Notamacropus eugenii: one gene and its partners. The protein of the gene in region 1 interacts with the protein of each later gene in a biochemical or structural test. Links are inferred from orthologs where the notes say so. Each region holds a gene or a part of one and is shown on either strand. Other genes may lie near its edges.

What was found.
Region 2: the proteins of RAB11FIP3 (region 1) and ARF5 form a complex in vitro, tested with the Homo sapiens proteins (2 studies listed by BioGRID). The link is inferred for Notamacropus eugenii from reciprocal best matches to the Homo sapiens genes RAB11FIP3 and ARF5.
Region 3: the proteins of RAB11FIP3 (region 1) and ARF6 form a complex in vitro, tested with the Homo sapiens proteins (2 studies listed by BioGRID). The link is inferred for Notamacropus eugenii from reciprocal best matches to the Homo sapiens genes RAB11FIP3 and ARF6.

The regions. Positions count from the first base shown.
Region 1 is NC_092872.1:54,400,789-54,411,277, forward strand, and holds the start of RAB11FIP3 (rab11 family-interacting protein 3), read right to left. Parts: upstream 4,811-10,489; coding exon 3,722-4,810; intron 1-3,721. UniProt on the Homo sapiens protein: Downstream effector molecule for Rab11 GTPase which is involved in endocytic trafficking, cytokinesis and intracellular ciliogenesis by participating in membrane delivery. Recruited by Rab11 to endosomes where it links Rab11 to dynein motor complex.
Region 2 is NC_092874.1:122,540,343-122,550,236, forward strand, and holds the start of ARF5 (ADP-ribosylation factor 5), read right to left. Parts: upstream 4,574-9,894; 5' UTR 4,567-4,573; coding exon 4,323-4,566; intron 3,556-4,322; coding exon 3,475-3,555; intron 3,147-3,474; coding exon 3,037-3,146; intron 2,245-3,036; coding exon 2,173-2,244; intron 824-2,172; coding exon 698-823; intron 533-697; coding exon 446-532; 3' UTR 1-445. Other genes in the region: GCC1 (GRIP and coiled-coil domain-containing protein 1), read left to right, coding at 6,980-8,005, 9,383-9,894.
Region 3 is NC_092872.1:332,280,472-332,290,611, forward strand, and holds ARF6 (ADP-ribosylation factor 6), read left to right. Parts: upstream 1-6,011; 5' UTR 6,012-6,307; coding exon 6,308-6,835; 3' UTR 6,836-9,626; downstream 9,627-10,140. UniProt on the Homo sapiens protein: GTP-binding protein involved in protein trafficking that regulates endocytic recycling and cytoskeleton remodeling. GTP-bound form plays an important role in the transport of multiple palmitoylated proteins form the Golgi to the plasma membrane.

The DNA of each region.
Region 1 (10,489 bases):
CTCTGAACTTAGCTAGGCTGGTCTTTGGACAACAGATATACCATCAAATAATGTGCCCATAATTGAAGTCTTTCAACTGGGTAAAATTTGCCTCACAGGACAACTCTTAAGAACCCAAAATCACCTTTATGCCATGAAGAAGGTAAGGCTTCAATCTTGCACATAGTAGATGTTTATAAGATATTCACTGAATTGATTTCATTGTTTTACCAACCCCCTAAATAGCAATTCAAAGTTTTCTCACTTGACCAATAAGGGAAGACCAGGAGACTTTTAAATGAACATAATTTAAGGACCTAAAAGTCAGTAAGATGAAACTTGGCTCAAAGTATTTTCTAGCTACTAAATGAGTACATGTGATATAAAGAAATCAAATAAGGTAAATAAGGAAGTTCTAAAACCAGAAAAAGAACCTAAGACGTAGGAAAATTTTATTGGAGTATTTGATAATAAAAATAGCTGACATTTATATTTTGTTTTAAGGCATGCAAAGCAGATTAGACACATTAACTCATCCAAGCCTTACTACAACCCTGTAAGGTAATGTTATGGGTGTTGTTATCCTCAAAAGGTTAAATGACTTGCCCTTGGTCACACAGCTAGTAAGTGTTAGAAGTAGTATTTGAACTGGGGATTTCCTGACTCCAACTCAGCATTCTACCTTATGTTGTCCCCCATATACCAAGATTTCCCATAACACTGCAATTTAATGATCTATATAAGAAATATTTTCATAAGTACAAACTGAAGCCCATCCACATTCTTAAGTTATATGGCACAGTCAATGGTTAAAGATCACACAATTATATAGAAACCAAAGACAAAGATATTGTCAAGTCCACATGGCAAAGAGAAAAGGCTGCAAAATAGAAACACTATCAGCACTATGGCAGAGACGACCAACATGGTAAATGTGGAATTGATACGTGTCACTTCTCAGCTATACCTTCAGTCCAAAAAGAAATACTAACACAGATGACCTTCAAATGCAGATATATGTCATTTAATAACAATGAAATTAATAGATATTTTCAGGATGTAAAAAGGCAACAGAAGACAAAAATGGCATATCAATGCACTATTGTTGGAATTATGAATTGATCTGACCATTCTGGAACATAATCTATAACTATTCTAGAAAGGGTACTAAACTTTATATACCATCAGATCCAGGGAAATCCCTATTAGATGTGTAACACAAGGAGATCAAAGACAGAAAGATCTTAATGTGGACAAAAATGTATTTTCTATGGTAACAAGAAAAAAATTGAAACAAAGTGGGTGCCCATCAATTAAGCAACAGCAGAATGAATTGTAGTATGTAAATGTAACATTATTTGCCCCAGAAGAAATGACAGCTATAAAGATTACAGAGGAAGTCTTGTCTAAATAAACTGAGGTAGAACAAAATAAGCAGAAAAAAGAGAACTATCTCTGGGCAAAGTTCACAAGAGTATAAAGAAAAACCTGAAAGACATTAGTAATCTCTGATTAGTGGGGGGCTCTCATAGGTCATAGATCAGGAGCTGAAAAGAGCCACAGAAGCCTATGTCTATTTTACAGATGAGGAAAATGAGGACACAAGAGATTATGACTTACTCAAGGTCGTTCAGATAGTATGCATAAGAGGTAGGTTCTCTGATCACCTTCCAACATATGAAATGGGGCACAAGGCCAAGGTATTGCTTTGTTATGCCTAAATATATTTTTTTGTTTCAAGGAGGGCTTTGGGGTGGCGTGGTGTCATTTAGAAGTGACAACATAAAGATTTTTTTTTTAAGTAGGCTCCACACCTTCCTAGGCTACGCTCAAAGAACCATGAGATAGATAGCTATATTGTCATGTGTGTACAGTATGTTTCAGACAATAGATATCATAAATATTGTGTTTTTATAGGTAAGGCTGACTTATAAACATCATTACAGTAAGTAAATAGTATTCTGAATAGTTGATATTACATTTTATCTTTAAAAGGATTTCTGCTTAAATTGTGAATATACTTTAATGCCCAATTTAATGCTGATGTATATACAAGAAGCCACCAAAGTATAAAATCCTATCAGAACCACATTTAGGAACTTGTCATTACCCTATAGTTTACAAAACAGTGGGTACAGATAGCCTTCTAATAAAACATATTACTATAAACTAGGTCACATAAGGACCATGATCTTGTGCCATATACATAAATGCAAATATGTATCTGAAAATGATGAGCCTTAAGCTGCGAAAAGGATGGTAACTTAAGAATCACTTTAGACAAGAACTTGTAACAATGTGTAGTTTTCAACTAATGTTGAAAAGCAGACAATGTTTAATGAGAGGTTTTTAAAAAATAAGAAGAATCCTTAAGGTAAACTAAAAATTTAATTACGTCTATCACTATCAAAATCTTAAGAGATTTTTCTGATAGAATCATTCAAATCCCACATCTGCCACTTCCTATCTGTGTGATCATGGTCAGATCACTTTACTGCTCAGTGCCTCAGTATCCTCATCTATATATTAGGTAATAGCACTTGTACAACCTACCTACCTCACAGGTCTGCTATGAGCTAAGTGCGTTGCAAACCTTAAGAGCCTATATACATGTTATTATTATTGATGACTAGTTTAGTCATGGGGAAAAACAATTATGTGGCCTTAGTTTCCCTAGTTGTAAAAGAAAGGGTTAGAATAGATGAGATTGGGCAAGTAATTTAAACTCTCTGGGCCTCAGTTTCCTCATCTATAAAATAAGGGAGTCACTCTAGATGGTCTCTGAGGTTCCTTCCAGCTCTGGATCTACAATATGCCATGATTATCTCTTGTTGGAAAGAAGCCCTGTGAGGAGGCCCTGAGTTGAAGAGAAGAGGAAGGAGTGACAGGCAGGAGGAGGCATCCCACCCAGCAGTAGCAACATCACTGCAGGCTGTGGCTGCCAAGCCAAAAGGCTGCTTGCTGACTGTACAGAGCCCTTGAGCTTCCTGCCTGGTAGCTCAGGCAGAGGGAGTTTGCCTGAGGTTCCAGAGGTAGCTGGTTCAAACTCAGCCTTTCCTTCCAACGCTAATCATCTGTTAATTTGTGCATTTAGTAATTAAATAGTTCAAAGGAGTATAGGCAGAAAATCAATTGGAGGTAGGGAAAAATAATTCTACTTTTCTTGGCTCTAAATAAAAAACCCCATTATTTAGAAAAATTCCTAACCACACATTTTAAAATAACTGTTCAAAACTAGAAGCTACTAATATGTCCTTCGCAGTTACAGGATTTTATAGGTCCTTATGTATTACCTCAACCCCCCTCCCCCAAAAACCCAGCTATAAGTTCAGGTTTTTGATTAAGGTTGGCCCCTCTAACTTTATGTCCAAGATTGCTCTAGGCTAAAGTTGATAAAATTATCCTTACTAGATCTAGAAGATATTTTACCGTATTTGTGGGAGAGTGACACAAAAACAAAATTTTAAAGGGGGGGAGGGGGAAAAAGATTCAAAGAAATATGATCAGAGATAAAGGACACTACAGTGTGGAAGGGGAAAAAACCCTCCCAACGCTATTATCTTTGTCCATACATTTCAAGATTGCCCAATATTTAATGTAAACAGATATACTAGTGACATTATTTGTTCATGATGGAAAATCAAAAAGATAAATTTTCAGATGAAATAAAAACACATGGGAGGCACATAGTCAAGGACATACAAACAATTACCTAAATCAGAGAAATGTTGGATTATATTACCTGTTCTGCACCATAAACCGTAGCAAATTGAACAAACTCTTCTATACGGACAAAACCATCCCCATCTCTGTCTAGGGCATCAAACACAGCTCTGAGGCGAGGGCCATCTTCCTGACACCCGGAAGGCTCATTTGGAATTGGTTCAGTCTGGTTGAAATCAGAGGGTTGGCCCAGGTTATTCTGAACTATATCTAATTTCAGATCACACAAAGTGGAAGTAGTGAAAGAGGGAAAGAAGTTTATTTCATTACTAATTTGGTAACTATGATTTAAATCCTCCGCACTTAACGAAACACTTTTCTGGCATCTTCCGGGCACATAATCCTCTGGCTCTTTAGTCCAGGAAAAAACTGGATCAAGTCCTGAGAGCTGGGTTTTGGTGTCCGGGGGAGCAGCCTGGTCCATGCCTAAGTAAAAATCTCTTTGATCCTGAAGAATGTTATCCCTTTCTCCAAGGCGGTTTTCCGTACATGATTCCTGCTCCCTAAATTCCATGCTCAATTGTAAATCCTGCGGAGGTGACCGAGGTGGGCCCAATTCCAGAGCATAGAGGTCCTCCTGCTCCTGCTCGTCAGAACCTGTTAACCGGTCGGAGACTTCGGGATCCTGCCCCAAGGTAAGAGCTGTATTAAAATCCTCTTCAGACGAATCGTTAACCACACCTAGCAAAGACATCTGCTTGTCACTGACAGATAAATCCCGGTCGGGGTCCGCGACAGGAGTATGGGTCTCTTGGTCCAAAAGACAGAGGTCCGGATTTTCTAACCGATACAAATAGTTGATGGGTCCTTCAGAAAATAAGTCCTGGCGGAGCTTCACCTCCCCCAAAACTTGCTGGAAAGCCACAGACCCCTTTTCCTGCAGAACAGGCCCTAAAAGCACCGAGGGCTGCGGGGGGGTCTCTGGAGGAAGCAGCACCAGATCGGGACCAGGCACCTGCCCCCGGGATTCCTCCGACACTTTCTCCAGGTCCATGAGGAAGTATTTCCCTTTCTGCTCCGGGAACAGGTCCCCGAACGTCAGCAGGGAGTCCGACGTGGTCCCGGCCGATGCGGACAGAGTCACGAATAAATCCGGCTCCATTTTCATGGGAAGGAGACTGGCCGGGGAGGCCAACGACGGCGAAGCAGCCCCCACCCCGCCCCCACCCCTCAGGGCCGAGGCCGGGCTGCGGCCCGCGACGGCGGGGCTGCGCGGCGGGTGATTCCCTGCGGCTCGGGCCGCAGACAAAAGAGCTCCTCAGACACCGCGGGAGGAGGAGGAGGAGGAGGAGGAGGAGGACGGGCGGCGGCCGCCGAGAGCATCACTGCATCCGTGCGGGCGCCGCTGCCCTGCGGGCACCCCCAGACCCTCCAGCGCCCGGACCAGGCGAAGCCGCGGCTGGGGCCGTCGGGCCCCCGCATCCATCTTGACCACCGACGCCCCTCATCTCTCCGCACACACCGGGAGCGGCGGGGGGGGCCCCATGGCGGCTGGGAAGAGGCCCACGACGAGGGGAGGGAGGGATGGGGTCGCGCTGGGGAGCGGTGGGGGGGCCCGCGAGCCTAAGGAGAGAGCCCACCGCCCTGGCCGCTCTGTTCTCGGGTTCGATCCCCGAAGCTGAGGGGGCGGAGGGTAGCCTGAAGAGTCGGGAGGCAGCTGAGCTCGAGCCCTTAGCCCCGCCCCTTCTCCCGGCCGCGTGGCGTCAACACGTTCATGAGCGTCTGGATTGGCCCCGCCCCCTCCGAGATGACTATAAAAGAGCGGCGCGGCGGTCTGACTAGGCCCCGCTGCGGCGGGCGCCGGCAGGGGTGGGTGTGCTGCGAGGAAACGTGGGAGTTTGGAACTGGCTCCCTCCTCACGCCCCAGGCTCTTTGTCTCCGCCTCCTCGAAAAAGGAGGTTGGAGTGTGGGAATGGGGCTGCTCCAGGTGCCAAGCCGCGGGAACGTACTGGTGGGCCCTGTGGCTCTCCTCCCTCTGGGGGAGGGCGAGGGGGAAGTTAGAACTGCGGGGCCGCCGCTGCCGAGGCGGTGACGTCACCTGATTGCCTTGTGCTGGGGTGAGCGGAGGTGGTGCTGAAGGATGGGGCGATCTGGGACCGCACCGGTTCCCAGCCTCCTCCCCCACACCCCGCGGGAGCCTGGGTGCCGTCCTAGTCCTCAAGGAGAGGCCACCTTCACCATAAAGTGGCTGAGGGTGTGCGGCGCGGCGCGGCTTCGATGCCCAGGACCGCCCGGACGGCCGGAGCGTCCGTGGTCCTCTTGCCTCTCGTAGTGGCCATCCCTCCGGGATTCTCGCCTTAAATGAGGGGCTCCCTCCCGACTGGGAGGACCTCTGAAGTCCGCGCCCGCTTAGAGGGGAGGGGAGGGGGGCCGGGGCGGCCCCACCACAGACACACCCCATTCTGCCCTTGCCCCGGGGGAGCCGCCCCGCATTCCTCTCTCTCCATCCCTCCCTCCCTCTCCCCTCCGCCCAGGGCCGGGCTGGGGAACAGAAGCTCTTTTGGCTCGACCTCCCGGGAGCCGGTAGTGGCCAAGGTCTGGCTCCCGGGAACCTGCGGCGATGCATCCGACTTCTGACCGCGGGCTGTCCGAGCACTCACCCTTGACAAGTTCCTAAAGCGCTTGCCCACGGAGGAAGGCAACAGGGGGCTAGAAACTGTCCCAGAAACGAAGAACTGGGGATGCGCCTTGCGCATAGTGGGTGCTTGATTCAGTGTCTCTTAAAGACCTGGCAGGAGGGGAAGTGTTTTGTCTGGGTTGTTCTGTTTTTCCTGAGGAATGGACAGGATTTATTAGATTGGTTTAACCACGGCTTTTCCCACAATTGTAATAAGCGGGGGGCGGGTAGTACAGGGATTCTCCCCGTTGTACAGATGAGGGGAAAGGCTCAGAAAGGGGCAAAGTGATTTGTCTATCTACCAGTAAGTGGACAGCCTGCCAGACTGCAACCCCACCCTAGAGTTCTTCCCACCAGACAAGAGACAGGACTGTCTTTTGCCTCTTTTTGTAACTCCAGCGCGAGCGCCTGGAACATAGTAGGCACGTAATATTAAATAGAAGGATTCGACTTCTGCTTAGTCCCAAAAGTCAGACCTAGTAATAATAAGTCTAAGTCCTATGCAGGTAAATTTTGATGCGAATTAAGGACAACCTTCCTAATAGAACTGTGTTTTAAAAAATGGAATGTGCTGCCTCATGAGGTAGTGTGTCTCCCATTTGCAGAGCTCTTCAAGCCAAGCGCACATAAAGTTGTTGAAGAAATGATTTGTTCAGCCTTTGGAGATAACCTGGGAGGATCTTTTCCAGCTCTGAGATGCTGCCGTTGTTTTGTGGTTTTATTTGATCCTCTCTACAGCCTTGTGGGGTAGACTGGGTAGAGAGCATTATCCCCATTTTACGATTGAAAGTAAAGCACGGAGGGTAAATGACTTGCCCCAAGATCACAGAGCTAGGAAACAGCAGAGCTCATAATTCAATCTAGGTCTTCTGACACCAATTCCAAAGCCCTTTTCACTACAACAATGAAAGAGTGTAGTTGGATAACCACAGCGTATTGTACTGGTCCTGGATGAACATGAAGAATGACAAAATCCCTAACCAGCAGAATTTCAATCCCTATTAACCTGTGAAAACATTTAAGATAGCGTTTGGGTTGCATGGCAGTTGACAGTCTCTCACGTTTTAGAGGCAAACAGGTAGGTGTTAGAGAATAGAGAAAAGGGGTCGTGACAGCTTCAGGAAGGGTGACAAATTAGCATATGGCAGAATTTATGATGAATATAATTATGAACTGTTATCTTACCACAGAAGAGTATCAGAGTTGACAATGGGCCAAAGAATAGGTTACTTCATCCTGTCTCTGTGTGTAGCCCTGATAATTAACTGACTCATCTCCAAACCTTCAATCACAGGAGGACTACAGAACAGAGTGTGTAGTGTGTGTGTGTGTGTGTGTGTGTGTGTGTAATTTTAGGAGGTAAAAGAAGAAAAACCCTCAGAACTATTTTCTAAGTTGTAAGAGCCAAGTCCTGAAACAAGTGAATTATTGTGTTCAAGGGAGATAAAGACCTGCTTCTGATTTCAACAGGAATTTGAAAATAGACTCCTGACTTTAGCCGATCAGTTTTTCACATGAGTTTTATGTCAACCTTACTCAATAGAAGGGTGGTGTTAATGTGGATGAGACAATAGTTAGAATTCCTCCGGCCAGATAAAGAAAGGTTTCTTGCCTAAGAGCTCTGTAGAAGGTGGAAAGCTGGTTTGGTGTGTAAATGTGCCCTATTGTTTCAGAATCTCGGGACTGAAAGGGACCAGAGGGCATCTAATCCAATCTGAACCTGAACAAGAATCTCTTCTACAGTGTACCAAAAGAATACTTCTCTGGTTGCTAAAACTATTTTGTTGACTGACTCAAGTGCTGAAGTTTAAAATCATAACAATAAAAACAAGCATTTTTCTGCTTAGTTAAAAAAAAAATCTACCTCAAACAGAAAACTAAAATAACAGTTCACTCTAAATGAATCATTTTAGTAGCATGTTGTAATCAGGTTTTCAATTTATTGCATTCTAAACTAAATTAAATTAACTAAGTCTTGCCAGCAACCAGTAGCAGAAAATCCTTTACTACCCTTTTGGCAAGAATCATTCTCTCTTTTAGAAGTAGAATAATTGAGACGTGGGAGAAGGTAGCCAGGAAGTCTTGATCATGCTCCACCTACTTTTGGAAGCTTTTTCAGATTTTCTTCCCCTCCTTTCCACACACTTACCCCAGTAAATGGGATGGGGGCTGGGTGAAGTCTGATGGGTTTTCCTTCTGGAATTAATTACAGGTTTATCTTCCCTCCCAATAGAACCTAAGCTCCTATGACAGATAATTTCCTTTTTGTGTTAGCATCTCCTTGCCTAGTAGGGTGTCTTGGGCATTAATGGCCCTTAGGAAGTATTTGAATTGGAGTTGGGAACCTGACAGGTTTTATGGCCTGACAGCATATATGAATGTTTGTTTTTTAAATCAACCTGTGAAATTCTACTTTTGAAAGATTGTGGGAAAGCTCTCTCCTTTTGTGTTTATTGAGCAGACTAAACTAAAACTAAAACTTTTACAGAAAGCTTTTTCCAATCCCTCTTAATTTTACCAGTTGAAAAAGACTGTGTCTCCCCCTCCTCCCTCACACACACCCTTTGCTATAGCCTGTCTCCTCAATGTCCTTGAACATTTGTATCCCCACCTCACTGCCTTTGCTCACATCATTTCCCTTAACTGAAATGCCTGTCCTCTTTTCTACTCAGCCCTGACCCATTCTTTCAGGCCCTGAGCATCCCATAAGTTCAGAGTAATCTTATCCTCCTCTGGACTCCTAATTCTCTTGTATATAACCCTCATTTGGTATTTGCCGTATACTCACAACATATATATTCATGTGTGAATTTTGTCTCCTCTAAGCTGTGATCTCCCCAAACTCAGGGCCTAGGTCCCCAAAATGTGAACTCCCCAAGTACAGAGTCTAGGTCTGTTCCTTGTTTGTCCCTGTAGCAGTGTGTAGCATAGGACTGGGCACATAGGAGTCAGTGGGCTGCCCATTTCCCACACAGCATAGGAAGTCACACAAATAACCTTTCTGTCAAGAAACTCAGGAGTCAAGTAATCCACCTTCTTCACCACCTTCCCACCAGATTTATAAGGAACTCATTGACTCTGAATTGAGACCAATCACCTAAGGGAGGAATTTGAGAGCAGAGCTTTGAGCTGAAGTGTGAGGTACCCGTGTCTATACATACTTGTGTGTATCTGTGTCTTCGTGATACCCTCTTCCCCATCCTTCTCTAGGACTGGACACAAGGACTTAACACAGAGTTCCCAGTTGGTAACATGACAAGCAGAGCAAAGCCCAATTCACACTATAACCCTTTGCAGTTATGTTGTCCCCATTTTACAGATGAGAAAATGAATATGAGTTTGCCTAACATTCCCAGGGTTGCTTAGATGTTAAACCCAGCTCTCCTAACTCCCTGCCTAAAACTTCTTCCATGAAAGTGCTACCAATCCTAAAATCTCCCACTACCCCTCCTGGGTGACCTTGGGAATCTTGGATGGGGAGGACAGGATGAGGTTGTAGATGAAGACAGGGGAAGAATAGGGCCATTGCTGCCCTTTCATAGTGGCCCAGCTCCTCCATAGATTCTGACACTGGAGAGCAGAGTTCCGAGAGCTGGAACTGACTGGGGAGAAAGCTGATCATGAGTGGGTAGGACTGGCAGAGCAGCTAAAGCTACTGGAAGGCAAGCCTCAGGAGCAGTCGGATTCCTACATCTGCCTCTGTTAATTATTTCCTACTTATCTTGTATGTAGCTTGCTATATGTATTGTCTCCCCCATTCAATTTGAAACTCCTTGAGGACAGGGACTGTCTTTTGACTCTTTTTGTATACTGAGCACTTAGTGCAGATCCTGGTACACAGTAGAACTTAGTAAATGATTAGTGTTTGGCTGATTGATTGAAAGAGCTGCTTTCTTTAACTCCTTTTCTTGGGGATGACAGTATGGCCTCCAAAAGGGAAAACGAGAGAGGGCTGTTCAGGAAGGAGAGGGGCAATGAATCGGCAGATTTCCTTCAGAGCATCCTCTGACTTTCTCCTGCCAGGATAGGCAGATGTAGGTCAGGAAAACCCATGGGTAGAAAGTAAAAGAGTCATCATGGCGGTCAGACTAGGAGAGCAGTGCTGTCTCTCCAAAGCTTAGCATTCGTTAACGATGGCATTCTCATCATCATTGTGATCATTAGCTGTAG
Region 2 (9,894 bases), on another chromosome or scaffold:
ATACCCAGTGCTGAACCACAGCACCAGTCTGGTCCCCCTCCCCACACACCCCCAAGAAGTATACCCAAAAGAACGAAATCAAAAGTCAACCCAGTTTCTTTTCTGGAAGGCCTTGGTTCCTGTAGCTGCTTCCACAGTTCCCGGGGAGTCAGAAGACAACCCCTTCCTCCCTCCCCCCAGTACCCAGAGGGTTAGTCTTTTGGGTCCTGGTAAGAGAGAACATGCAGGCAAGAGCAGCTGTAATTCTGTGTGTGTGTGTGTGTGTGTGTGTGTGTGTGTGTGTGTGTGTGTGTGTGTGTGTGTGTGTGTGTGTGTGTCTGCGTGTTGAGAAGAAAGGGTGGGGGGTAGGAGCAGGGAGCGCTGCCTCAGGAGTCCTCAAGAGGTCAATTGTCCAAGAGATACAACCTGGGAATTTTCTTCCAGCAGGAGTTTTGCCCTGGGGTGGTTAGCGCTTTGACAACTCATGGGACAGCCAGTCCAGTCCATCATACAGCCCTGTACCTTGGGTAGCGCAGGTTGCTTGGACATACCACTGTAAGGGAGAAAGGAGAGGTTAGCAACTGAGTGAGGCGCTCCATGGCAGTGGATGGAAGCTTCAGTTCTCATACCAGCTTTCATTTTTTTCAGGTATAATCCTTCCCCTCGTCCCATCCTGTCCCTGCCCCGGGGAGGAGGGAGGGCGAGGAGACACACTCACAGTCCGGCTACGCAAACTCTGCAAACCCAATTTGTCTGTCAGCTCGCTCACAGGCATGGCATTGGGCATGTCTTGTTTATTGGCAAACACCAGCAACACGGCCTCCCGGAGCTCATCCTCCTGGAGCTTGACAGGGGAAAAGAAAGGAAAGATGAGATAAGGATTCATCACAAACACTGTAGGAAGGAATGAGTTGTTATCAGGCACCTCCTATGTGCCAGTCACTATGCTAAGTAAGCACTTTACAAATATTATCTCACTTGTTCCACACAATAACCATTGAAGGTAGGAGCACTTGTGAATTCCCCATAGAACAGCTGAGGAAACTGAGGCAGAGAGAAGTTAAGTGACTTGTCCCACAGTTATACAGCTAGTGTCTGAGGTGAGAGTTAATTAAGGTCTTCCTCAGTTTAGGCCTAGCAGTCTATCCCCTTTGCCACCTACCTGCCTCTAGGCAAGAGTATTCTACAGTCAGTAGAATATAGTATTTACAATCCTAACTGGTAAAACAGAATCCAGTATTTACAATCCTCATTTGTAAAACGGGACACTATTGTTCCACTTACCTCACATGAAGTTAAGATAATATAAGAATATTATAACAATATTTATTCATATATAATAATGAATATATTTCATATATAATATGAAAAGTATTTTATGAATTTTTTGACTATACATCAAAGTTATATTTTTGGTATATCAAAGTTAGTTATTTTCATAGCAACATTCCTCAAACTGGGTTCTAAAGAACCCTGATGATCTACATAGTGGGAGCAGTTTCTGGGAGAAGGATCTCAATTCAAGTTATATTTTCCTCTTCTACAATATTAGATATGAATGTATCAAAAATATTTATTACATGCAATTTTTTTCAGCACTAAAATAGGTTCAATTTCTTTGACTCTAAACTAACATTTTTCAACTTTATATTTTCTGTAAGTACTCTGTGTCCCCAGACCAGGATTTGAAAGTGCTTTATATAATTTATATATTTCAAGCCTCACATTGTTCTATAGCCAGATTGCTTAAGGAAATGCTGGTCTATATAGATAATACCACAGGCATTAAAATAAAAATAAAATAGTATTATTAATCTGAATGAAATCACCTTGGCCCTATAAAATGACCCATAGCTGTTCTTGGTAAATGGGATAGAAATCTACTTCAACATATTAAAGATACAACACACAACCTATCTCCCTTCCCTACCTCGATCAATATCCCACATAAACATGACAGAAGGATAAAAAGAAAGACTATTTTACTTGCTTCATCCCATAACATAAGGGGGAGAACTTTTCTCTTTCTTTACCCAGGATGAATCAACACAAGAGATTTTAAAACCAAAAAAAGACTCAGATCTCCTGGCCTAGACTGAAAACTAGTCTGTGTTTCTACGGTCTCCGCTATTTCTGACTCATGAGAGAGAGGGCTCAATGTCCAATGTTTTCCACAGCCCATCTGGCACTCACCATCTTCTGAAGCTCATCAGCAGATTCTTGGACCCGTTCTCGGTCATTGCTATCCACTACAAAGATAAGACCCTAGGGTGGGAAGAAAGAGCAGTTAGCTCACCCAAAGAAAATGAACCATAGTTCTATCTTTTCTATCCCTTTCCTTACATTTTCTATAACTCCACTTTCATCCATCAATGGACTCAACTGTCTTTCATTCAAAAAATGAAACAAAACAATATATATTAAAACCTAATTCCCTTTTCAGCATCTACTATATGCAAGGCACTAAGAGGGAAAATATATATACATATATATTATCTACTCTCAAAACACTTATTAATGTACAAGGATAGGTATACCAATATTGCGTGGGGAAGAATTTCATGAGGACCACTTAGAGATAGGATATAAGCAAAAACTACAGAAACATGAAAGGAAAAAGTGCTTCTGACTGGAGAAAGCAGAGAAAGCTTCACAGAAATGGAAGTGGTATTTGGGTGGGACCTTCATTGAAGGATGAACAGAATTTCAACAGGTGGAGGGAGGAGACTGGAGTGGGGAGAAGGGTGAAAAGAGGAATATTCTAGGTAGATGGAGCCATGAATAGAAGCATAAAGCGAGGAAAGCTTGTTTAAGAAACACAGACTAGGTCAAGGTGGCTAGACTCAAAAAGGGAATAATTGAAGAAATTGCTAGAAAGTAGAATAAAAGTTCCTTGAGGGCAAAGTGTTATTTTTATCTCTAGCATTTAATACAGAGTCTGGTACGTAGTAGGTGCTTAACAGATACCAGATATAGGAATGAGTTTTATTTTGTAGGTAACGGGGAACCATGGGAAACTGTATGTGTCTATTTAGCTATTTGTGCTCTCTGGCCCACCTGAGTGTTTTGGAAGTAGTGTCTCCAGAGAGGCCGAATCTTGTCCTGGCCTCCCACATCCCAGACGGTGAAACAAATGTTCTTATATTCCACGGTCTCCACGTTGAAGCCTGTGAGGAAAGGGAAAAGGGGGGGAAGCCTGGGGGGGAGGAGGGGCACTGTAATGTGGGCAGGTACATTCAACTCTACAAAAGCGACGGGAGATCAGCTTGGTCAGGAGAACTTCTGGGAGTCCCCCAGAAGAACATCATGCAGACTTAAAAGAATTAACCGAACTGGGCCCAGGGCTGCTGCTTCCACATCCTGGCACCATCAGCCAAAGACACCATGACCTACTTTCTTGGAGCAACTGTATCTAGTGTCAGGGTCAGGCCCCAGAGAGGAAATACAGGGGACGCTCACAGACTACCAGCCCTCCCCTCCGTCCCAGGAGCTCACCTATGGTGGGGATGGTAGTGACAATCTCGCCCAGCTTCAGTTTGTAGAGGATCGTGGTCTTGCCTGCGGCATCCAAGCCGACTGCAATAGAGAGGCAGGGTAATGGATACGGTACCCGAGAAGCTCCGACTGAGACGAGGAGGGAGAGGGCTCGGGAACGGGAAAAATGAGATCGGAAAGTCTCAACGTGCATCTCCCGCTCCGGGGAGCTACGTTAGGGGGGAGTCCGAGGGAAACCTGGGCATCACGAGCCATTTCTCTTCCCCTCCATAGAAAAACCCGCACGCCCAGGGCCAAACAAAAAACCCCACCCAAAGTGGGCCTGCGGATTCAAGGGAGGGCAGGACTCAAGGAAGGAGGTGGGGGCCCCACAGGGACGGGGGCTGCCTCTCCAGAGAGGCATTCCAGTCGTGTCCAAGGGCCTCGCGTGGGGGCGGGCGGCCGGCCTGTGGGTTAACCCCGCCCAGGCCGGCAGGTTCCCGGCCTGGGCGCCCGCAGGCTCCGGCTGCTGCTGCAAAGCGGAGGAGGCTGCAGGCTGGGCCAGCTGGGCTGCAGGCCGTACCTGTCTTACCAACCCCGCCCCCCGCTCCCGAGGGCCGGGGGTCTTTTATCCCTTCTCCTCCCTCACCCGCCACCCCGTGCCTCAGTTTCCCTCATCTCCTCTCTCGACCACCCCCACCCTCACCCCCGGCTCGGAAGGGGAGGCCGAGGCTGGGCGCGCAGGGCCGGGTGGGGAGGCTGCGGGGGCGGCAGAGGGATGCGGGGGCGGCGAGGCTGCGGGGGAGGCGGAGGGCGTTACTCCGTGGGCAGGGAGGGATGCGGGGCCGTGACGCTGCCCGGGACCTCACCCATGAGGATCCGCATCTGCTTCTTCCCGAAGATCCGCGAGAAGAGCGCGGACACCGTGAGGCCCATGGCTGGGCCAGGGAGGGAGGAGCGGGGAGCGGGGAGCCGGGAGCCGGAGCCGGAGCCGGCAGGTTGCTGGGGGGATGGAGAGCAGCAGCAGCAGCAGGAACCGGAGCCGCCTCCGCGCTTACAGGACCCGCGTGACGTCACCGAAGAGCCCCGCCCCCACCCAGGCCACGCCCCCATCCCGCACACCTTAAAGAGCTTAGAGCCCAACCTTCTCTTTTTGCAGAGGAGGAAGCTAAGGCTGGGAGGGAAGTAATTTGCTCGCAGTCACCTGGATGTAGGAGAGATGGGGTTCGAACCCTGCTCTTCTGACTCTAAATCACTTCTTTACGCCAGGAAAAACTGAAACAGAAAGAAGGCTCAGGAAGAACGCGTACCTCCCCCCCAGCATTCTGGAATAGTCTACCTTGTGTGTTTGTGGCAAGTTGAAGAAAGAAATTAGGGTCTCTTTCCAGAATATTGCCTCAGAGCCCATCATCCCTCCCACCATCAGGATCATTTGTAACAGATGCAGCTTCTCTTCCCCATGCCTGCCAGGGCACCCCAAGATGCGGTGTTTTTTACTCTTTAACCTCTTTCCATTCTTTCCCAGAGCCTCTGCAAGGTAAGGAGGGAATCTACGGAACCTGCCCATATTTCCAGGTATCACAACTGACTTACAATAAACACCAATGGTAATAAAACATTAATATTATGTGCTTTAAATCACCTTAACCTCTTGCTTCTACTATAAAGTAAGGAACGCATCTATGGACTTCTGCCCTGAGTTTCAGGTATCACAACTGACCTACAATAAACACCAATGATAATAAACAGAATAAGTATTAAGTGCTTTAAAATGTTCCAGGCACTGTGCAGAGTGCGGGGGTTATGAATACAAGCAAGACAGTTCCTGCTTTCAAGGAGCTGGGTTTTTTCAAGGGCATTAATTCTAAGGAACCCCAATGTGGTTTACTTACAATTCCCTGTACCTCAAGTAAATAAGAGGCAGGGTAAAGTAAGAATTTCTCTCTTTAGAGCAGAAATTTCCTCTTGTACTTTGTATCTCTCTGACAACCTCTAGCCCAGGTCTTGTCACATAGTAACTTAATGCTTGAATTAAATTGACTGGTAGGATACAGCAAAAGTAAAATAAGTTTTAGATCATAAATCTAGGGGAAGAAATCATATTCAAGTTCAGATGCAGTCCCCAGATTTGCTGCTTTTCTTCTCTGTAGTTATATAAATACACCTCTAAAACAGGGCTTTTTTTTGGAGGCAATGGAATTAAGTGACTGGCCCAGGGTCATTCAGCTAGTAAATGTTTGAGGCTGAATTTGAACTCAGGTCTTCCTGACTCCAGGAACTGTGCTCCAAACACTGTGCTGCCTAGCTGCCTCAACAATAGGTCTTTTGAGTTGGAAAGGTCATAAGTGATTATCCACTACTCTCTTTTGACAAATTAGGAAACTTTAATGAACAAGAGAAATAGTGATTTGTCCAAGGTTGCACAGGTAGAAAGATATTAGGGGAGAGATTTAAACTCAGGCCTTACTCACAAATTCAGGATTCACTTCCACTACACCACGAAATGCTAGACATCTGTATCAATAAACACTTGCTGAATTGAATGCAGAGATCTGCAGATGGCCAATTTGCAAATTTAGAGCAAACATCTCTCAGGAGGCACCTGACCATAATGGCTGCAGCTTTCTGGATCTTCTAGACTGGTGAATAGAATAATATGTATTCGTATAGTACTTAAAGCAAATTGCTTATTTGATCCTCACAACAGCCCTGTAAGGTAGGTGCTTTCATTCCCATTTTACAGATGAGAACACAGGCAGACAGGTTAAGTGACTTGCCCAGGGTCCTGTAACAAGAGGTATGGAGAACAGCCCCTCAATACTCCCGTCCCCAGCTTCCCATGGGGGGCGGGGTTCTCCTTCAAGCACTACAGACATTTTAACAAATATCATTTATACGGTGCTTTAAGGGGTCCAGGAGTCAAAAAGAGGTGAAGAACTGGTGGTCCTAGATCTGGCAGGGGGTCGCCTCCATTCCCTGCGCCGCAGTCGTGCATACAGGTCTCTCTATGCATTTTCCCCTCCACTGCATCAGATACCCTGACCAGCTCAGACCCCAGGAAGCAGCGCCCAGCCTCGCCTAAGAGCAACCGCAGCAGCTCGACTGGCGCTCGAGGCCCCTCCCCTTGGCGCTCAAAGGCCCCGCCCCTCTCCTTATGCCCCACCCCTTCGCTCTACGTCCCACCTCTCCTCCCCGAGCGCACGCCTATCCCGAATGCCCACCTGCACTTCCGGCGGAGCCGGAAGCGTTGTTGACAACTGACTTGAAGTGGTTACCGAGTTAGGATCGGAGCCGGAACCGGTCTGTCCCGCTTCGGGGGCGAAGGGAGCGAGGGGCGCCGCGGCGTCTGCTGGCTTCGTCATTTGCCCCGCTAGCCCTCTGGGGCCGGAGCCAGGAAAGCGCCTGACATGGCGGCCTTGGCAGCTGCACCCCCTCGGCGGGAGCGCGCGTAAGGTCGGACCCCTCCCCGCACTGTCCCCCCCACCCCAGACTCCGTGAGCGGTGACGTCAGGGAGCTGCCCCTGCCATGGAGAAGTTTGGCATGAACTTCGGCGGGGGCCCTAGCAAGAAGGACCTGCTGGAGACCATAGAGACGCAGAAGAAACAGCTGCTGCAGTACCAGGCCCGCCTCAAGGACGTGGTCCGGGCTTATAAGAGCCTGCTGAAGGAGAAGGAGGCCCTGGAGGCCAGCCTCAAGGTGCTCTCGGCGTCCCACGAGGCTGACGATGCCTGCCAGGCCCCAGGCCTTCCCCTGGCCGAGGCTGTGGATGACCGGTGCTCCACTCACAGTGAGGACAGCACTGGTACTGCCACCAGCCTGGACACAACGGCCAGTCTGACCAGCACCAAGGGTGATCTCGGGGTGGAAGATGAGAGACTGCCCGCTGGTCCAGCACCTCCGAAGTCTGAGGAAGCCAGTGGGTCGGAGAGTGGCGTTAGTTCCAGTAGTGGGGATGTGCCAGCCAGTGTTGGCGGGGAGATCGACAAACGTTTGCACCAACTGAAGACCCAGTTGACCACCCTGACCAGCTCTTTGGCCACAGTGACACAAGAGAAGTCCCGCATGGAAGCCTCGTACCAGGCTGATAAAAAGAAAATGAAACAAGATTTGGAGGATGCCGGTAGGAAGGCTGAGGAAGAAAGGAGCCGACTGGAGGGGGAGCTCAGGGGGCTGCAGGAGCAGATGGCAGAGACTAAAGCCAGGTTGATCACACAGCAGCATGACAGAGCCCAGGAGCAGAGTGATCATGCTTTGATGCTGAGGGAGCTGCAGAAACTGCTACAAGGAGAGAGAACCTTACGGCAGGATATTGAACTGCAGCTAGAGGAGACCCGGGAAGCCCTGGCTGGACAGGCCTATTCAGCTGACCAGGTGGAAGGGTTCGAGTTACAGATCAAACAGTTGACCCACGAAGTGGAGGAACTGAAGCAGGAACTGCAGGCTCTTCGAGAGGAGAAGACTCATCCAGACCCACGGCTGGAAGAGCTTCAGGAAGAAGCTGCCCACCTTAAGAGTCATTTCCAGTCCCAGTTGCAGCAGGAAATGAGGAAGGTAATTCACCTTATCTGATTCAAATCTATAGGTGCTTAATGCGTGACTAAAAATATTAGACTTTTTCTTCTTTTCAAACCCTATACTGTAGTTGAAAGAAGTGCTAAATTTGTAATAAGAGTTCAAATCCTTACTATGCCACTTACAGCTATGTACCCATAGACAAGTTGCTTTATCTTATAGAACTTGGTATTCTCTTCTACAAAATGAGGGATTTGGACCAAATTTACCTACGAGGTCTCTTCATGCTTTCAATTCCTTTATTTTCATGGTCCTTACCCAAAATTTCTCATGGACAAATTTACTGGAAAATCTTGGTCTAATTGATGTTTACAAAAATTACAGAACATACGTCTAAGGGGATGTGGTATTTGTGGGTGCTGTCTGGAATTAAGTTGGAGTGCTTCCAGATTCTAGGCATTGGCTTCTTAACAGCTGTGTTAAGGAAAACAGTGAAGTACTGTATTCTATTTGTGTGGTTGATATTTTTTTCAGAAGGAGGCAGTTTCCTTCAGTTGTTCTCAATCAGGATTTGTTTTGGAGATGAATGTGCTATCCCAGAATACTGTTTTGGATTTTATGAGAATACCGCTTTTCAATTCTGGACTTGCTAGGCAGGGGTAGCATACAGGAGCGTGCAGTTCCTGAGGATAAACAGCAGATTAAGGGTGATAGACATAATATGCTAGACGTGTGACAAAAATGTAGAAACTGAAAGCAGAATAGAACTGTTCATGAACACTCAATAAACATGTATCTGTCATGTGCTAAGGCACTGTGCCAGGCAATGAGATTACACAGGGGAAAAAAAAACATTCCAGGCCTCAAGGAACTTAGACTCTACTGGGTAGCAGGTGTCAGGAAGAAACAATACATGTACACAGATAAGTATAATACAGGATAGTGTTTGAGAAGAGCAAAGGAGAAATCTAGATAAAGTGTCACAGGAAAATTTAAAACGGGAGAGAAAATTTCTAACTGGATGGATCAGGGATTCATGGAGAAGGATTCATTTTTAGCTTCTTGAGCTGAAGACAATGCTTCTCAGGGAATAAGTGTAATGCATTTGTTTTGACTTGATCTAGTAATAGTATTAATGCTCATGTGATTTTTGTCAAGTCACAGAAAATGACCTTAATATTATTTGGTGAGATAAATTCTGAGTCTTCAAGGGGTGAGGGCAGGGTTGCAGAATGGGAGTGGATAATAGTTTAAGTTTTGTTGGTGCTTGAATCAATGAAAAAGTTCTCTAAAGTTCTTCCCATTCCTACCAGCACATCCTATTTAAGTGCCCTCTCTCTTCTCTGCCTTTCCTAGATTCAGTGACAAGCTCTGCACTCTCTCTTAATTCATCTTTTTTGTTTCCTTGGTTTTTAGACTGCTTTGGCAGAGGAGCAGCTCCGTCAGTATTCTCAGATGGAGGAACAGAGGGTGGCTGCCCTAGAGAACCAAGTCTCAGAAGTGTCTGAACTTCTGGGCACCTATGAGAAGGCTAAACAAAAGGATCAGCTGGCAATTCAGAAGCTCAAGGATCGCCTTCTGCAGCTGGATATGGAGAATAAGACACTTGCTCTTGCAGCCTCCAGCCGTTCTCCCCTGGACAGTCACAATGAGGAGACCAGCCTGGATGTCAATGTTCTAAAGGATAAGATGGAGAAACTGAGGAGACTGTTGCAGATTGCAGCCAGGAAGAGCCAGGTGTCTCTGAATATGGAAAAATTGTGTGAAATAGAGATGTTGACAAATTCAGATGCTGCTGATGGGGAAAAGGCTACTGCACTCTACTACCAGCAAGAGCTAAAGCAGTTGAAAGAGGAGTTTGAACGGTACAAAATGAGGGCCCAGGTTGTCCTCAAGAGCAAGACAACCAAGGATGGCAACCTAGCCAA
Region 3 (10,140 bases), about 280 Mb from region 1:
TACAGAAATACACTTCAATCAATAAACAAACAGGAAGGAAATGAGAGAAGGTGGAATGAAGAATAATATGGAAGGTACATTAAGGGAGGAATTAACTTAGGCAAAACAAACTCCAACCATGGAGGGTGAATCTCAAGAAAATATGTGATTAGACTCTGGATGGGTAGTTAGGTGGTGCATTGATAGAGTGCTAGGGCTAGAGTCAGGAAGACCTGAGTTTATATCTGGCCTCAAACACTTCATAGCTGTATGACCCTGGGCAAGTCACTTAATCCTGTTTGCCTCAGTTTCCACACCTGTAAAATGAGCTGGAGGAAATGGCAAACCACTCCAGTATGTTTGCCAAGAAAACCTCAAAAGGGTTCACAAGGAGTCAGACATGACTGACAGTGACTAGACAAAGGCAAAAAGGTGAATTTTAATTGAAAAAATATGATAAAAAATGAAGATGTAGCTGGGAAAAAAATCTTTGCAGTAAGTAACTCTGACAAAGTTTCAAAATACTAAGGAATTGACTTAAATTTATAAGAATGAGAACTATTCTCATTTTCAAAGGAAGCAATTCAAGCTATCAATAGTCATATGAAAAATGCTTCAAAATCATTAAAAATTAGAGAAATGTAAGTTAAAATAGCTCTGACATTCTGTCACACATTCTTCATATGGAAAAGTTAATTAGGAAAAAAAAAGAAACTGACAAATGTTGGAGAGGCTTCAGGAAAAGAGGCAAATTAAAACACTCATAAGAGAGCTGTGATATGGTCCAGTCCTTCTGGAAAGCAATTTAGAACCATGCCTAAAAGGTTACTAAGCTTTTTGTAAGCTTCAACCCAGTGATACCACTACTAGGCCTGTACCTCAAAGAGATCAAAGAAAGAGGAGAAGGACTCATATGTACCAAAAATATTTATAGCAACTTTTTTTGTAGTGGCAAAGAACTGGAAACAAAGTGGGTACTCATTAAACAGAGGACAAATTATATGTGAATGCAACGGAATATCATTGTGTTATGAGAGATGAAGAAAGAGATGGTTTTTGAGAAACCTGGGAGAACTTGTATGAACTGAGAGGGAAGTGAGTAGAACCAGGAGAAAAATTTATGTAGCAACAACATTGTGAAGACAACTTTGAAAGATTTAAGAATTCTGATCAATGCCATGATCAACCACAATTCCAAAAGACTGATGATGAAGTATGCTACCTATTTCCTGACAGAGAGGTGATACATTCAGAATGCAGAATAAGATATATATATATGTGGCCAACATGGGAATTTATTTTGACTATACATATTTCCTTCAAGGGTTTTATTTTTCTTTTCTTCAGGGGAGTGGCATAGTATGTGAGTTGGGGAGAGAAAATCCTTATTAGTGGAAAAAAATTAAAATTATAGTTTATTAGAATAATCTCAACTAATTTTGAGGATATCCCTGATGAAGACATGAGAAGAAAATAAACAGTATTCTATGGAAGACTATACTTTTATGACCAATTAATAAATACTTAAATACCTAATATATGCCAAATACTGCTAGAAGCTGGGGATGCAAAAAAAAACCCAAACAAACCAAAACCCCAGTACCTACCCTCAAGCAGGAGGAAACAATCTATATACGTGGTTGTTGTTGTGTCTGTCCTTCGTTTTCAAAGAGGATCATGATGTCAGAGAAATGACGACATGACTTGCACTTGACTTTGTTTTGAGTGAGGGAGGGCTATGCAGGTCACCAGTTTCACTTTCTCCTCCTGAGCACTCTGGATCCAGTGAGCAGCTATTCATCAGGATGACTGGGGATGGCCCATGATGCAATGTGAGACCTTGACCTTTTAGGCTAAGGCCTTTTCAGGTACTCACTGAAAGTGAGGTAATTCCCATTCAGTGAATAGGCCTCTTTAAAAAGTAGTCAGGGGGTTGGCCCCTTCAACAGAAAATAAAATAAATAAATATATAAATATTATATGTATACACACATATACACATCAAATACAAATACATCTAAATTTTCAAATACTTAACTATAAGCGATCTGATCAATCACTTTAGACCACAACCCACTCATGCCCGTCCTGTGCAGTTCTTGTAATTGTGCGTGTTTAAGTACTTATAGACAAAAGCTAGTGAAATTCAAAAACACCTAGGAAATAAAAGAATAACTATAAGTTCCTTTACATGTATAGTACATACAAAATAAATAGAAGGTAATTTCAAGAAGGGAAGACACTGGCAACTGGGAGGATCAGGAAAACATTTCATTTAGGAGATGGTATTTGAGAAAAGCCTTGAAGGAAACCAGAAATTCTAAGAAGCAGAGCTAAAATGAGGTGAGGGCAAGTATGTTCAAAGCATGAAGGCAAGTACAAAGGTACAGACCTGAACGATGGAATGCTACAGTATATGTAAAGGAACAAGAAGGCCAGGTTAGTAGCATTGTAGGAAGCCTGTAAGGAAAACAATGCATAATAAGCACGGAAGGGTAGATCTCATAATTGATTGAAGGGTGCAGAGAAACTTTGTATTATATTTGTCTGCTGATTTTTTAAAAAATTGCTTTTTATCACCTTAAAGCCTCTCCTGCAACAAGATGTCTTCCATGCATGTTAGAAATTATATATGATTCCTTGGAAGATGTAAGAGAGAACTCTATTCAATGAACCTCTGCTTATTAATATCAAGATAGGGACTGGACATCTGAGATGATGAGATGTCTTCTATCAATGTAAGTTTGGCCTTTCTCTGCAAGTCTTAGAAAGTTACCTAGATGTTAAGTGATTTGCACAGGGTCACAGGCAGTATGCCCAGGGATGACATTTGAAACTAAGTCTTCCTGGCTCTGAGGCTAGCTCGCCCTCTATCCACTATGCCACTGTTGTTCAGTTGTGCAGTTGTGTCCAACTCTTCATGACCCCAAAGGCACATCCTTCTGTCCTCCATGGGTTTTTCTCAGAAACCACTCCAATGGAACTCCTTTCCTTAGAACTCTCCATTACAACCTGTCCTTCTTGGGTAACTCCATATGTCATTGCTCATAATGAAACTATATTATGTGGAATTACACAAGCACCTCTGCCAAAACAAGGAAGAGGTGATCCAGGAGGGCACCACTGTGCCATGTGGTCTCACTATTAATATCAAATGAAGCTTAAAACAGAGATATGTTCGTCAAAGGTGTTGGCACTGTCATGCAAGATTTCCAGAACTGAGTCCAGGTGGAAGATGGTGATCTTATAAATGGTGATGTTCCTTTCAGATAATGATAGCTGGCATTTATATAGCACTTTAAAATTTACATAGCAATTGTTATACGTGACCTCATTTGATCCTCACAACTCTGAGAGGCACATGATAAAATCTCAATTTACAGGTGAAGAAACTGAGGATGAGAGAGGTTGTAACTTGCCCTGTTTACATTCAAACTCATGTCTTCTTCACTCCAAGTCCAACATTCTATGCATTTTGGGTCACCTTGCAGATGTCATTGTTCTGATAAGACCTGCAACATTGTAGATGTAAAAAGGATCCATAATCACTCAAAAGAATTTGGTCTATTTATCAACATAGAAAAAAAATTAAGAATGCCTATTTTCTAAATGAAGTAGTAAGATGATCTATCACTATATGGACAAACAATGCAAAGAGGATAGGTGGGGAGAGGTAGAACTGAACAGGAATAAGAGCAAGCTAAGGAGACTGTTATTTTTATGATCCCTAACTTCTCCATATAACAAAACTCAATATTCTTTCAGTGATACTATATGGCCGTGATCATGAAATACCATATTTTCCAAAGCATCAAAATTATGGGTAACATCATTAAAAAAAGCATTATAAAAAAGCAGTGCAAAAGATCAAACATGATCCTTTATACTTCATTACACATCAAAGTGATGTCTAATAGCTAGCTAGTATTTATACACCAGGTGAGGATTTGCGAAGGGCTTCCCTCATGTTATCCCATTTGATCCTCAACTCAACTCAGTATAAAAACAGCCATTTCCAGATCCCAGGTCACAGATTCTCTAAGGCAGGATTTGAGTTCATGTCTTACTAGCTATACCACCTGGCTGCCATAAGGCATAAGAAAGTTGGCTGGTCATGTAGCAAGAGTGAAGGACAACAGAAGGTATTGGCAGATAGAAGGACAAGACCGTGTTCCCCACAGTTATTCACATGTTAAGAGCCAGCACATTGGATACAGGAGGCAGAGGCAAAGTCATACTGAGTGAGAAAGTGCAGGAGTGAGTTGTGATTGGTACGTGGAGGGAGAAGTCATATGGCTGATACCACAGATCCTGTGAATTACTGGCTTAAGAATTTTGTTCTCTTTCATAGAGCAATTTACTTCACCTTTTAATTTTGTACCTTCCTATGAAGAGCAACCTGCCATCTCTCCAACTACTCAACGGAACACCAAACCCAATTTTAAAAAACCATTCTTTTTTCACTAGTTCCTCTTTCTGCCATGGCTAAGTTCCCATTATTTTAGTTCTGATTTGTACTGGTATCACTAGCGTTCATGCACGTATTTTAACTCAGCTGATCTTCACAACCCTCGGAGGAGGTGGTGGTAGGAAGGCTGTGGAAACTGAGACTTGTCTGAGTGAAGTAAAGACAAATCTTTTTCCTCTGGTCGGTGCTTTTTCAATACTTTGTAGATACCATGATATAACTTCTTGGCATTTAATAAAAACTCCCTTGGAATAAAATGCAGGCTAAGCCTAGGAGCAGGAGAGGAGGACAGATCTGCGGCTGGAAGGTTCTACAGAGGAGGAAATCGGGCTCGGGAGGTCGGAGGCCAGGTCCGGACCGCTGGCAGACTTCGGCTTCACTCACGAGGTTCGGCTCAGTCCGGACTGACACGGACTCGTACATTTCAAAGGATCCTGCCCGGGGGCGGGAGCTTCCACTGCGGGACACCGTGAAGCACACGCACACGCACACAGGCAGCCACAGCACGGTTTTAAAACTGAAGGGAAACGAGGTTTTCTAAAGTTTCGGCAGCCGGGGAGGCGCACAGGGCACACCCAGGGCCGGCCTAGCCCAGCGCGGGGCGCGCCGACGGGCGCAGGAGCGGCCGCGTGGGCTTCTTCCGTACGTCTTCCTCTAGCGGCGCGGCGTGGCGCGGCGCAGGGCAAGGCGGGCGGCGAGGTCCGCGGGGGCGTGCGGCGCGGCGTGGCGGGAAGCGGGGGGCGGAGGGAGAAACTACGAAAACGGGGTCAGGCCGGGGCGAAGGCCAGGACGGAATGAGGGGAGCGTTTAGTAGGCGGGGGGCAGGCAGGCCCTGCACGCCGGAGGATTTTCCCGAGGATTCCCGGCCCTGGAAGTGGTGAAGCGGCCGGAACGAAAGAAATGGAAACTTAGGGGAAGAAGAAGAAGGAGAGAGGGCGGGAGAGCCACCTCCCAGCCTTCCTCTGGATTGGCCCGCCCCCTCCGTCACCCGCGGGAGCCCTTCGGGCCACCGTAGTCCGCGCCTCTCCTTTTCCCCGCGTGGCGCCGATGACGCGAGGCGCTGAGAGCACTCTTCTTACAGAGGTCCCTTTCTTCCGAACAGTCGGTTGCCCGCCGCTGCGCCTGCGTGGCTGAGAGGGGAAGTGAGGCGGTTTCCTCGGCGCCTTTTCCGGCTGTGGCTGGGGCTGAGCTGGGAGGAGGAAGAGGAGGCGGCGGCGGCAGCAGCGTCGGCCGGGGGACCCTGCATACAGGGCGGTGGCCGGAGGTAACTGCTTGGGCTGGGTGGGGAAGGAGGGTACTCAGGTCCTCCATTTCTTTCCCCGGAGTTCCGGCGGTAATCCCCTTCTCCCTTTCTTTCCTCTCTGTCTCCTTCCAGGTAGCTCACCGAGTCCCTCCGGGGATCAATGACCTGACGAGGAGCCGGAGCCGCCGCTGTCGCTCGGGTGGCGAGGGTCGGTGTTTCGGCGGGCGGGCGGGCCGGGGTCTCCGGCGGCTGCGGGGCCAGGAGAGACGGCAGGCAGCCCGAGGAGCGGGCCGAGCGGGAGCGGCGGCGGCGGCGCTCGGTGCCTGGGGGGGAAGGGCAGTTCCGGGCTGGGCCTCACCAGGGCGGCGGCTCCCCGCGGCGCAGCTTTTGGCCGGCGGCGGCGGCGGCTGGAGGAAGCCCGTCTTGGGGCCGGTGATGTCCCACTGAGCGGGGCCCCGGGACTCGGCCCCTAGGCGGCGGCGGCTCCCCCATTGCAGGCCGCAGGGCGTCCTCGCGGCTGGGCGGGACCGCTTCGGTTTCCTGGAGGCTGCGGCGGCGGCGGTGCCTAAGGGGACGCGGGACACCTGAATGCCCCCAGCCCCGGCTTCTCCGACGCGATGGGGAAGGTGCTGTCTAAGATCTTCGGGAACAAGGAAATGCGGATCCTGATGCTGGGGCTGGACGCCGCCGGCAAGACCACTATCTTGTACAAGTTGAAGCTGGGCCAGTCGGTGACGACCATCCCCACCGTGGGCTTCAACGTGGAGACGGTGACTTACAAAAACGTCAAGTTCAACGTGTGGGACGTGGGCGGCCAGGACAAGATCCGGCCGCTCTGGCGGCATTACTACACCGGGACCCAGGGGCTGATCTTCGTGGTGGACTGCGCCGACCGAGACCGCATCGACGAGGCCCGCCAGGAGCTGCACCGCATCATCAACGACCGGGAAATGCGGGACGCCATCATCCTCATCTTCGCCAACAAGCAGGACCTGCCTGATGCCATGAAACCCCACGAGATCCAGGAAAAACTGGGCCTGACCCGGATTCGGGACAGGAACTGGTATGTGCAGCCTTCCTGCGCCACCTCAGGGGATGGACTCTATGAGGGCCTCACATGGTTAACCTCTAACTACAAATCCTAATGAGCATTCACCGCCCATCACACCCCCCTCCCCAACTCCCCTCAGGAGAGAAATAAAAAAACATTCATAGGATTATCACCACCATCACCTCCAAAATGCCACTTTCTCTTCTTTTGAATATGGACTCTGGAGTTACTGTTTTACTGTTTGGGGGGGCTGGGGTTTGGGGGGTTTCTTTTGTTTGTTTTCTTTCTTTCTTTCTTTTTTTTTTTTGCTTTGCTTTAGGACGCTCTAGTCTGACATTTGACATGAACACAAAGTACTAGGTGCTCTTGTTGACTTCCAGCAAATGGGGTGGGGGAAAATATAGCAGCTCTTGAGATGGTCCTTTATAATAATGGTTTGATTTTTTTATTTTGAGGGAATCTTTTTTTTCAATGTATGTCTCCCCCCTTTTACCCAGTTACCTTATCACTTGCTGTAGATGGCTTATTTTGCATTCATGCAGACGATGTTGCAAGTCTGTTTCATCTAGTAAACTGAAAATTATTGCTTAATCAAACTGCAGTCTGTCTTTTATATTTAAGGACTCTTTTTTTTTAAAGAGTTCTAACTTTAGTAATTTCAGGTGTGTCTTTTCATATCTAAAACTAGAATGGTAAAACCTTGCCTGCAGTGGCAAACAAGTGATACCATTGTAATAACTTGCAAGTGCAAATCCGTAATGTTAAGCAGGTAATGTAAGAAGTGCTTTGAAATGTTAGCTATTAAGTTCTGAAACATACATCTTGCATGACTAGGGATAAGACCAAATTTGCTGTACCACATAGCTAGCTGTTTCCTGAATGAAAATGTGAAAGTTTGAACAGGCCATAGATCTCGTATTGAAAAGTTAGCAGTTGTGTTGAATTTTCTCTCGTTGCTTTTTTGTTCACTTCCGATAGTAGTGTAAGAATTATTCAGGCAATAGAGCAATAATGGTACACACCACTTTGATAGCTGAAACATTTTGTTACATTTTGACAAAACATGCTTTTTTTTAGTTGGCAGATAAGATAGCAAAAACCAGACAGTGAGTTTTGATAATTACTAGTCTGTTTATTGTGGTCAGTTCTGAAATATTTTTAAAAATTCAAATTATCAATCTTTTTTCCAAACTGCAAAAGCAAACATTCCAGTTTCCCTATCGCAGAAGCTGATTAAGTTGAAGAAATAAGTAATTTTTTTAGAGTTTACAAATGACCTATATCTTAATTATCAGTGAAAAAGATGGATTATTTTTTAAAGTTTGACTTAATTTTGTGAGAATGTAGATTTAATTCATGGAGGTGGTAATCAGATACTTTATTAGTTCACATTTATTTAAATTTAGAAGGAAAGGAAAATTGATAGATGACTAGATAAAATCCACTGATAAGAAATGCCAAGTAAATAGTGGAAAATATGTAGGTAATGATCCTACATATGACGATGAATGTAAATTTATAAGTCTTGTGAAAGATAACCAGTTTGTCCGTTTGTCAGCTACTGTCAGTATAACTAGATTACATTGTTAACCAGATAGTTGAGAGTACTTTGAATCAAATGTTAATAACTTGATATAGAATTGTGCAGCAGAAGCTGGTTCTTAGCCTCAAATATTAATTTTTAGAGATCATTAAAAAGTTAAAATTTGGAATTTAAAGAATGTATACTATAAAATCAGAAATGAGGTGGTGTGTGTCTGTATGTTTGTGTGTGCACTTGGGGTTTATGAAAAATCCGCAAAAGTTTGAATGAGACATCATACTACAGTTGTGCAGTATTAATCCTGCATGTTTTTTGACCATAAAATGTATGATGGTGCTTTTTACCAAAGATATGAGGGGGCTTAAGGTTATAGAAAATTCACTTCTTGACATGAAACAACTTGGACAAATATTTTACTTAATAGACTAATAGATAATAAACTGTTTCTATAGAATTTATATGGAATAGGAATTAAAATTTCTGCTGTAACTTAGCAGTTTAACTTCATTCAGGGGCAAGGCCTACTGAAAATTAGGTTGAAGAAATAAAACATTTTGGGTACCCTTACAAAAGATTTCTAAGGCTCCATCATAAATTTAATTCATAGTCTTTTGAACGATTCTAATTTTTAAGGTACATAAAATGTTTGTAAAATGATATTCAAATATCAGAATGTACTAGTAACATCTGGAATAAGATAAGCACAGAAAATTCCCAAACTGGAAGAAAGTTGAAGCCCTCATGCTAATAGTTCTTGAAATTCTTTTTAATGTGTCTTTTTTTGGAAACAAGCAGTTGGATTGGTTAGCTTTCAATTTTTTAATATTAAAACAGTGTTTAAAAGATTTTTATATGCTTAAGTGATTTCTTTTGAATAGGTGAAAAGGTAATGAAATTATTTTCAGGTTCTTTGAAATGTCTGAAAAGGGAAAATGAACATTTTGAAATACAGTAGAACTTTGAATACCTTTTAGTAAGCAATTGTAAATTTTACTTCAGATTTTCCTTAATGAATGAAAAATAGTTTATAATTTTTCTAGTTAAATTTAACCATAATCATTAGTAATTATGGGGCTGGTAAATACAATCTACAGGGGGAAACAATCATATCTTTTAAGAACTCCAGTTATTTTTAAGGAACAATTTGAAGTTTAAAGTGCATCAAGTTCTGTGTTCATGTTTTATAAGATGCATTAAGTTTTGAATGAGGTTAATCTTGTCTGAAAAAAGTAAATGAGTCTCTAGACTATCTCCCTAACAGTACAGTACTTGGAATTGTGTTTTTAATGACTGTAGTGTTGAAAAAGAACTAATATGCAGAAAATAAAGAAATTACACAGCAGTTTCTCATGGTATATTACTTGTTTGAAACAGTCAAGCATATGGTATATTGGGTTCCTGTGCAGAAAGTGTATAAAGTGGTTTTGTTGATTTGGGGTCATCGATGTGATATTTGTCTCTAGTTTTAGGAAGTGCATGTTCTTGGTTTCGTAAGGTGCGTTTGAGCTTTTACTTTTTTATGCAGAAAAAGTTAACATGAACAGTGATAATTCCTTGATTTTAAAATAGAACATGGACCAGAGATATAATTGAGAACTACTTAAAAGCTTCCATGTAGCAGCTTGTTATGTGACTATTCACTTATATTATGTGGATTTTTGGAATATAGTTACATTCACAAAGAATGTGGCCTACTTTACTTTTTACATTTTAGAAGTCCTACAGGGAGGGCTTCTTTGATAAAGATAGAATAGCAGCTGCTTATAAAATGGATTAGTAAATGAAAGCTACTTCATTTTTTAAGAATTCTTTTTTAGAATTCTACAGATATTTCATTTTTTAAGAATTTTAGGAAA